Rattus norvegicus: one gene and its partner. Each later gene encodes a partner of the first gene's protein in a complex. Links are inferred from orthologs where the notes say so. Each region holds a gene or a part of one and is shown in the gene's direction. Other genes may lie near its edges.

The links. Proteins that work in one complex are often made in the same cells at the same time.
Region 2: Ruvbl2 (region 1) and Asdurf share a complex: the UniProt entries of both Homo sapiens proteins name them as parts of the PAQosome complex. The link is inferred for Rattus norvegicus from reciprocal best matches to the Homo sapiens genes RUVBL2 and ASDURF.

Annotation. Positions count from the first base shown.
Region 1 is NC_086019.1:105,045,220-105,048,825, reverse strand, and holds part of Ruvbl2 (ruvB-like 2), read left to right. Parts: intron 1-444; coding exon 445-499; intron 500-1,724; coding exon 1,725-1,780; intron 1,781-2,068; coding exon 2,069-2,210; intron 2,211-3,064; coding exon 3,065-3,194; intron 3,195-3,296; coding exon 3,297-3,363; intron 3,364-3,606. UniProt on the Homo sapiens protein: Possesses single-stranded DNA-stimulated ATPase and ATP-dependent DNA helicase (5' to 3') activity; hexamerization is thought to be critical for ATP hydrolysis and adjacent subunits in the ring-like structure contribute to the ATPase activity.
Region 2 is NC_086027.1:55,617,360-55,621,700, forward strand, and holds the start of Asdurf (ASNSD1 upstream open reading frame protein), read left to right. Parts: upstream 1-1,439; 5' UTR 1,440-1,496; coding exon 1,497-1,586; intron 1,587-3,174; coding exon 3,175-3,228; intron 3,229-4,341.

The DNA of each region.
Region 1 (3,606 bases):
AACAGAGTTTGTGTTTCTTCAGGAGGCCCTGGTAGATGTTTATTGAATGAGCTCAGCACTGTAGCGTGCTATGTGTGAACATGGAGTCCAAGGTGGGCCAGGGTTGTGTGTACTGTTCCCTTTGCGAGACAAGTAGGTGCCTACTGGGAGCCAGAGAGCTCGCTGGTCTGCGAGTCTCCTTGCCATCCTCAAAGAGCTCAGTATAGGGACAGGAGGGTTTCCTCATCCATGCACCATGTGCCAGGGCCCTGAGGTGTGAGACACAGGCTATCTCCCTGGGCCCTCAGTGGTGGGGCTGATGACGGCCATTAGTGATTGGTGGCTGTTGTTGGGGTGTTGCCTGCCTGTGAGGCGGGGAGCTCCTGGTGGGCAGCAGGACCGTGAGAGAGCAGATGAAATGTGACAAATGGGACTCTTCTTACACATCACTGTCCTCACCCACAGGCAGCCACTACTAAAGTCCCTGAGATCCGAGATGTGACAAGAATCGAGCGAATCGGTGAGTGAGCAGGGTCAGGACCAGGGGAGGCACTACTGCTGAGTGACAGACAGACAGACAGACAGACAGACAGACAGACAAGGAAGTGATGGGGCCTTAGTCCCAGACTAGGCTGCTATACACGTAGCATGCCTTCATGGGGTTTTGGAAGTTTGAGGAGTGTCTGAGCTGTGTCCAGCACATAAGTGCGTATGGTGAAATACTCCCTGAGAGTACACTGGGCCTGCCTCATTCCTGGTGTGACTCAGGCCCCAAGCCTGCAGAGTACTCGGCAGGTAACCGTCAGATTCGTGAGTGTTCATGATGGATGTCTCCTGTGACATCTGGAGGTGGAGAGTCTGTCATCCTGTCCCCGGTGAGGAGGCCAGCTCTCAGAGCAGCTGAGTAGTGAGCCTCGCAGAGCCACAGGCAGGTGTGAGGCCGGCAGGCCAGCTCCCAGGACGCCAGCTGTGCAGGAGGCCACACCTACTTGTTCAGCTGTCCCTCAGCGGGTCGGACCTAGCTGTGTAAACCAGATTGGTGTCGAACTCGGAGAGATCCCCTTGCCTCTGCCCTCTGAGTGCTGTGCACCACCACGCCTGGCCTTGTTTTTCTTCTCGAGGTTTTCTCATATAGGCTGGCCCTGAACTCACTGTGTAGCTGAGGGTGACGTCACTGTGCCTGGCTGATGAATTCTACTTTTTTGAAACAAAGCACCCTCCCACTTCTAGTGCTTGAGTTGGAACCCAGGGCCTCATGCAGGCCCTGTGCTTGCTAAATCACATGTCTTCCAGAAGTGTAAGAGTGCATGTCAGGGAGGCAGGGTGTGTTAGGTCTGGTACCTGTGCCCTTTTGAGGTTTATTTCAGAGCCACTGGATGCCGTTCAGGGATCCTGTCCTCACCTCTAGGCTGGGTCCTAACCTGTCTCTCCACATCCCTGTGGAATGGCCCAGGAATGGTAGCAACAAGCTCTGGCTTGTCAGTGTGATGTGAAAACAGCACCTGTGCCAAGTACCTATATCCTCCCAGTGTGGGCTGAGACCCTAGCTCACCGTTAGTTCTTGGGCCCAGTGCCTGGGACCTTGGAAGCATCATCCAGACCTTGGATGCCAAGCACTTAACCAAGCTTGGGCATCGTTTGACCAAGAGAGCAGCCTGAGCTCTAGGGGAAGCCCTTGACTCAGCAGTTCTAGCCAGTGCTGCCTAGAACTGTCCAGTAACTCTCCTTCCCTTCCTCCCACACAGGTGCTCACTCCCACATCCGGGGCCTGGGACTGGATGATGCCCTGGAGCCAAGACAGGTAGAGCCTTGGGGCTGGGCGTGTGGGCTATTGCTGCCTGGCAGGTCTTCAGGCCTCTTGATTCTGTACTACAGCACCTCTGCTTCATGGGAGGCAGAGGCACTCGGTTCTCCATGAATTCAAGGCCAGCCTGGTCTGTAGAGTGAGACCCTGTCTCAGAAAGAAGAGAAAATCAGAACTGTTTCTTTTGTTTTCCAGCAGGTGGGGTGTGTGCCAGGGTGTGGCGGGAATGCCAAGGTGGCTCTGCAGCCAGTTACCTTCCATGTCCTCTCTCCTTCCACCCTCCAGGCTTCCCAGGGCATGGTGGGACAGCTAGCTGCCCGGCGTGCAGCTGGCGTGGTGCTGGAGATGATCCGAGAAGGGAAGATTGCGGGGCGGGCTGTCCTTATTGCTGGCCAGCCAGGCACAGGGAAGACAGCCATCGCCATGGGTAAGAGGCCTCAAGGGACAGATGTTCTCCTCTGTGCACTGCAGTGAAGCCCTCCTGTGGAAGTCAGGCACAGGCTGACTGATTAACAGTCACATAGAAGCATCAGGAGGAGGCTGTCCAGGGTCCCTGCCTTCTACACTAGCTTCCATGTTCGGCTCACTTGTATTCCAAGCAGGCTGCTAAGTTCCATCCTTCCCCACTGTGCTCGGGTCCTCAGGAGGAGTTGCAGCCGGCATGCGCATGCCTGGAAGCTGCTGTGGGAAAGTCTACCACACAGCGCCGCAGAGGTTGCTGTCTTTATGGAGTCTTTGCGGGCTCTGCCTCCCAAGTGCTGGGCCCATGCACCACCACATCCAGCATTGTTTTGCAGTTCTGAATTTGGCTCATTGGAGTTTTGGGAATAGGAGAGAGAGAGGGTGAGCACTGGATTTGGTGACCAGTGTTCTCTGCGGCAGTCCACTGGTGACTCAGGGCCACAGCCACCTCTTGTCAGATTCCGTCCGTCCTTCAAAGCCTTCCCATGCGTCTCAGCCTCCGAGACTCACCTGACCCACCAGTCGCCTCATTTCCACCTCTACTGAGACTGTGGACCGGGTGGGAGGAGCCAAGGTTCTGCCAGGAATCAGTTTAGGAGTAGTGCTCACCTAGGGATGGGACCATGTCACCATGCCTCTAAGGTGACTTGTACCAAGACAGAAGAGAACAGTATGTCAGGACTAAATGGCTCATAGGTCTGGGCATGGAGTAGAGGCATGGATGGTTTTGAGGATGTCTGGAAACTTGGACCATAAACCACCACTGTGTCAGGGACGTGGGGCCAGTAGCCACAACTGCCTGACCTCTGGTTCCCACAGGCATGGCCCAGGCATTGGGCCCCGACACACCGTTCACAGCCATCGCAGGCAGTGAGATCTTTTCTCTGGAGATGAGCAAGACCGAGGCTCTAACACAAGCCTTCCGCCGTTCCATTGGTGTCCGTATCAAGTGAGTCCTGTGGGGTGGCCCCTCTGCTTGCCCGTAGTCCTGGTCAGAGAACCAGGGTGTCCTGGGCTGGTCTGACCCAGTCTGTGCTGTCTGTCCCACCAGGGAGGAGACAGAGATCATTGAAGGTGAGGTGGTGGAGATCCAGATTGATCGGCCAGCCACAGGCACGGTGAGTCTCTGAGGCTTCATTGTCCCAACACCTATGTCACCCATGCTCCTGGCTAAGGCGCCTCCAGCCAAAAGGCAAAGGTGGGGCCAGTGGAGGTCGTCACGGGACCAATGGAGGGTGTCAGTGACTGGTCAAGTATCACAGGACCAGTGGGGGGTGTCACGGGGCTAATGGAGATTTTCTTATGAAATGAGAAGCGAGGAAACAAGTGTATGGGCTGATGAGTTACCGTGGACACCTGGA
Region 2 (4,341 bases), on another chromosome or scaffold:
TGGATGTGGAGAAAGAGGAACACTCCTCCATTGTTGGTGGGTTTGCAAGCTGGTACAGCCACTCTGGAAATCAATCTGGAGGTTCCTCAGAAAATTGGAAGTAGTACTATCTTAGGACCCAGTTATACCACTCCTGGGCATATACCCAAAAGATGCTCTAACGTATAACAAGGACACATGCTCCACTATGTTCACAGTAGCCTTATTTATAATAGCCAGAAGCTGGAAAGAATCAAATAACCCTCAACAGAGGATGGATATAAAATGTGGTATATTTCTACAAAAATAATGACTTCATGAAATCCATAGGCAAATCGATGGAACTAGAAAATATCATCCCTAGTGAGGTAACCCAATCACAAAAAAAAAAACAAAAAACAAAAAAACAAAAAAAAAAAAACCACATGGTATGCACACTCACTGATAGTGGATATTAGCCAAAAATCTCGAATTACCCAAGATCCAATCCACAGACCACATGAAGCTTAAGAAGGACGACCAAACTGTGGATGCTTCAGTTCTTCTTAAAAGGGGGAGTAAAAATATTCATAGGAGGAGATATGGAGACAAAGCTTGGAACAGAGACTGAAGGAATTGCCATTCAGAACCTGCCCTACCTGAGGTTCCAGCCCATAAACATACAATATTTCTGATGCCCAGAAGTGCATGCTGACAGGAGCCTGATACAGCTGTCTCCTGAGAGGCTCAGTCAGAGCATTACAAATACACAGGCAAATGCTAGCAGCAAACCATTGAACTGAGAACGGGGTACCATTGGAGGAGTTAGAGAAAGGATTGAAGGAGGTGAAGGAGCTTGCAACCCCATAAGAACAACAATACCAACCAACCAGAGCTCCAGGGACTAAATCACCATCCAAAGACTATATACATGGACAAACCCATGGCTACAGCTGCATATGTAGCAGAGTATGGCCTTGTTGGGCACTAAGGGGAGGAAAAGTCCTTGGTCTTACCAAGGCTGGATCCTCATTGTTGGGGAATGTCAGGGTGGGGAGGTGGGAAGCGGTTGGTGGTTGGGGACGGGGAACACCTTCATAGAAGAAGGGGAAGTGGGGATGGGATACGGTGTTTATGAATGGGAAACCGGAAAGGGGAATAACATTTGAAATGTAAATAAAAATATCCAATTTAAAAAATTAAAAAAAAAAAGCCAAGACCACAGTGTTAGGCACACTACTGATTAGTGATTTATTTTTACATAGCATCCGCTAGGGGGCAACACAGACCATTCATAGACTCTCCAGCCAAGCCAGACGAACCTTTAGCCAAAACTAATGTGCGCTGATGCACAGCTACTTAAAGTCGGAGTTCCAGGATCTAGTATCCACGCCTGCTACTGAGCAGGCGTAAATATGCGCACTCCATTGGTCGAGGTTCCGGAAGGGGCAGGGTCCTGAAAGGAACACTGGCTTCCGGTTGGGCCTGCCGCCTGCTGTTTCATCCACCGCGGTTCCTCCGTTCGGTGCGGCGTGGCGATGCCTAGCGGTGCGGAGCACCCCGGAGACAGCGCCGCGCCGGGACCCACCCGCACATCGACCGCGCACGCCGAGGCCCTTAGCAGTAAGGTGCCGTGGGACGCCGAGGATGGGCGGTGGGCGGCGGGCGGCGGGAAACGGGTCCCGCGGTCGCATCGGTGCCCAGTAGCCTCACCGGTCCATTCTCAGCACCGGCCGCTGGTTTCCCCTGCGTCCTGCAGATTTGCTATGATGGAGGCACAGATTTATCCACTGCAAACAACAGTGATACTGAGACAGAGGTCTTAATGACGTTTTTCCTTTACGCGTTTGCACCACTCTCCTCTCGGAACCCTTCACACATGTGATCTGTTGCTCGTTGGCTGTGCTTCATCCATTTAGCCATGTACCCGCCTGGACGCCATCCATGACGTCCATCATGAAAGTTTAGAAATCTGCCCGTTCTTCCAGACTCAGGCAAAATTTTCTTAACCGAAGTTATCAGTTGCCTGTTGACCTTAAAATATATTCTCACCTTTAAGTGATCCTAAAAACATCAGTTTGGTCATCTCTTTATTATTCAACCAGGACTGTAGCAGATTAATTTTTTCCCTTCCTCTTTTTGGGATAGGGTTTCATAAGTAGCTCAGGCCAGCCTCAAATATTGTTTGAGGATCACCTTGAATTATTCTCTTGCCTAATAGTCAGGATTTCAGGGAGGCAACCCCATACCTGAACTGTACAGTGATCTCAACTTCCAGTTACAGACAAAAATCTTTAAACGTGTGGATTGGAGGGGGTGTGGGTGCAGCCTTTTCAGTTATTAAACATCCTGAATTCCATATTTTTTTTCTGTCCTGTATGACATCTTCAGTACATTGCCTTATTTCCAGTGTGCCACAGTATTCTGTGGTGTCACCTAAAGTGAGATATATTATATACCTGTCGTTTGTAGTGAGCATAAAAGCGCTGTACAAGCAGCCTTGAATCTCAGGGAGGGTGTACTCAATGTAGCTTTGTCGTATGTTAGTACAGCTCTTAGCACTGCCCATGCACACTCATTTGGGTGGGGATGAGTTTTCAGAATACTCTGGCTACTGCCATAGCAAGCCTCTTGGCACTGTGTAGCTGTGTCAGTGTAGACTTATTGCCTATTTGGGCATTTCATCTGATGATAAGGAACAAACTGAGCTTAAGGATACCAGCAGTATGCTGTCCTTAATACTCAAAATAGAATGATACAAGGGTGGGAGATGATGTTGTACCACTGCAGGAAGGGCGTTCGTTCAGTACCGTTCCGTTCATTTTATCCGAATGTCTGGCTGTCATCCAGTGCATACATCATAAAACCACTGGCTATTGGTAAAGAGGAGAAGCCACATTCATTTCTCTTTTTTAGTCTACAGCCAGGCCTTATAAAATTAAAAGATTGGTATTAATTTGGCTAGACAGTGTCTCACCCTGGTTAAAGATGTGAGCTGTGGTAACTGGCGCCTGGCAAGTCTAAGTCAGCTTCTTTCTCCAGCTGTCTTCTACTGGTTCCAGCCTGAGTGTGGTTGCATCTGTACAGTATCCATTTAGACAGGCAGTCCATGACAGGCCCCAGTCCCATGTTTTGTTTTAAAGCAGTTGCTAAAAATGTGCTCACTAAACATAGTTTGAAAACTTCCACTTTAGGTTTTTTTCTTTACTTTAATAGATTAAAGAACAGAAAGTTATTGTGGATGAACTTTCTAACCTGAAGAAGAATCGGGTAAGTTGCTGTGGGAATCTGAATAGTATATATATATATAATATTAAAATTATGATTTAGATTATTTATGCTAACATTGCAAAATTCAAACATCGTAATTTAAAAACTAAAGTGATATCCTCATTTGGTTTTGCATGTTTTAAATTTGTTCTTCCTGTATAAGTCAGTAGATCTCAAAGATGAAAAAATTATATTTTAACAAAAAAGAATGAAGTTTTCCATAGAAAACTTTAATATTCCAAATACTTAACCCATTTCATGGCTTTTAAATAAATGTGTTAATAAATCAGCTACAATTAACTAATAATCGACATTTCTGATATTGTCATTTGTGAAATATTAGATGCTAGGGCAAATTAATACAGAAATTTTTGGAGATCAAACTGGCAAAATGAGTAAATGCTGTATGACACTTCAGAGTAACCGGTGTGGAAGCAGTTGTGAGGATGAATGCGTGTTTACCTGCAAAGGTACTTGCCAGCATCTGTAGTGAAGAGTTGACAGAACAGTAAATGACTGAGCTTGAAGGCAGTAAAGAACTATACATTGTACCAATGTGGTGATATAAAAGAACCTTCCTTGGTCAGAAAAGATCTCCATGTATTATTCGTTTATGAACTAAATTATAAACCTGTTGCTGTGATAGCCTTTGTTATTTGAAAGACTATGGTGTGATGACACATGTGAAGCAAACAACCGTCTCTGGGTGGCATAGTGATCAGTGACTTTGTTTATCTGTGGTAATCACTCTTCTGAATATTCCTGAAGTTCAAGAGTGGGTGATAAGAGGATCCTGTTCAACATCACTGTGCAAGTCGCATTCTTCTTTTTTATTAGCATGTCATGGGTACTGCGGCCTGAAGCATGGACTTTCAGTGCAAGGACATGATTGTCATGACCCTGGGACACCACTCATGGGTGGCTAGGAATATTGGTGCTGTATGATGGAGTGAATGGACTGTGACATAGTAGGTGCTCTCATAGCACAACACAGGAGAAAGCAGAATACAGACTTCATTGCCAATGATTAAGAACCACTGTCAGTTCTGTAACCAATGCTAAGGGAGCCTTGGGAGCCTTTTCCTCTTGCAATTGAGGCAGAGCTTTCGTTCA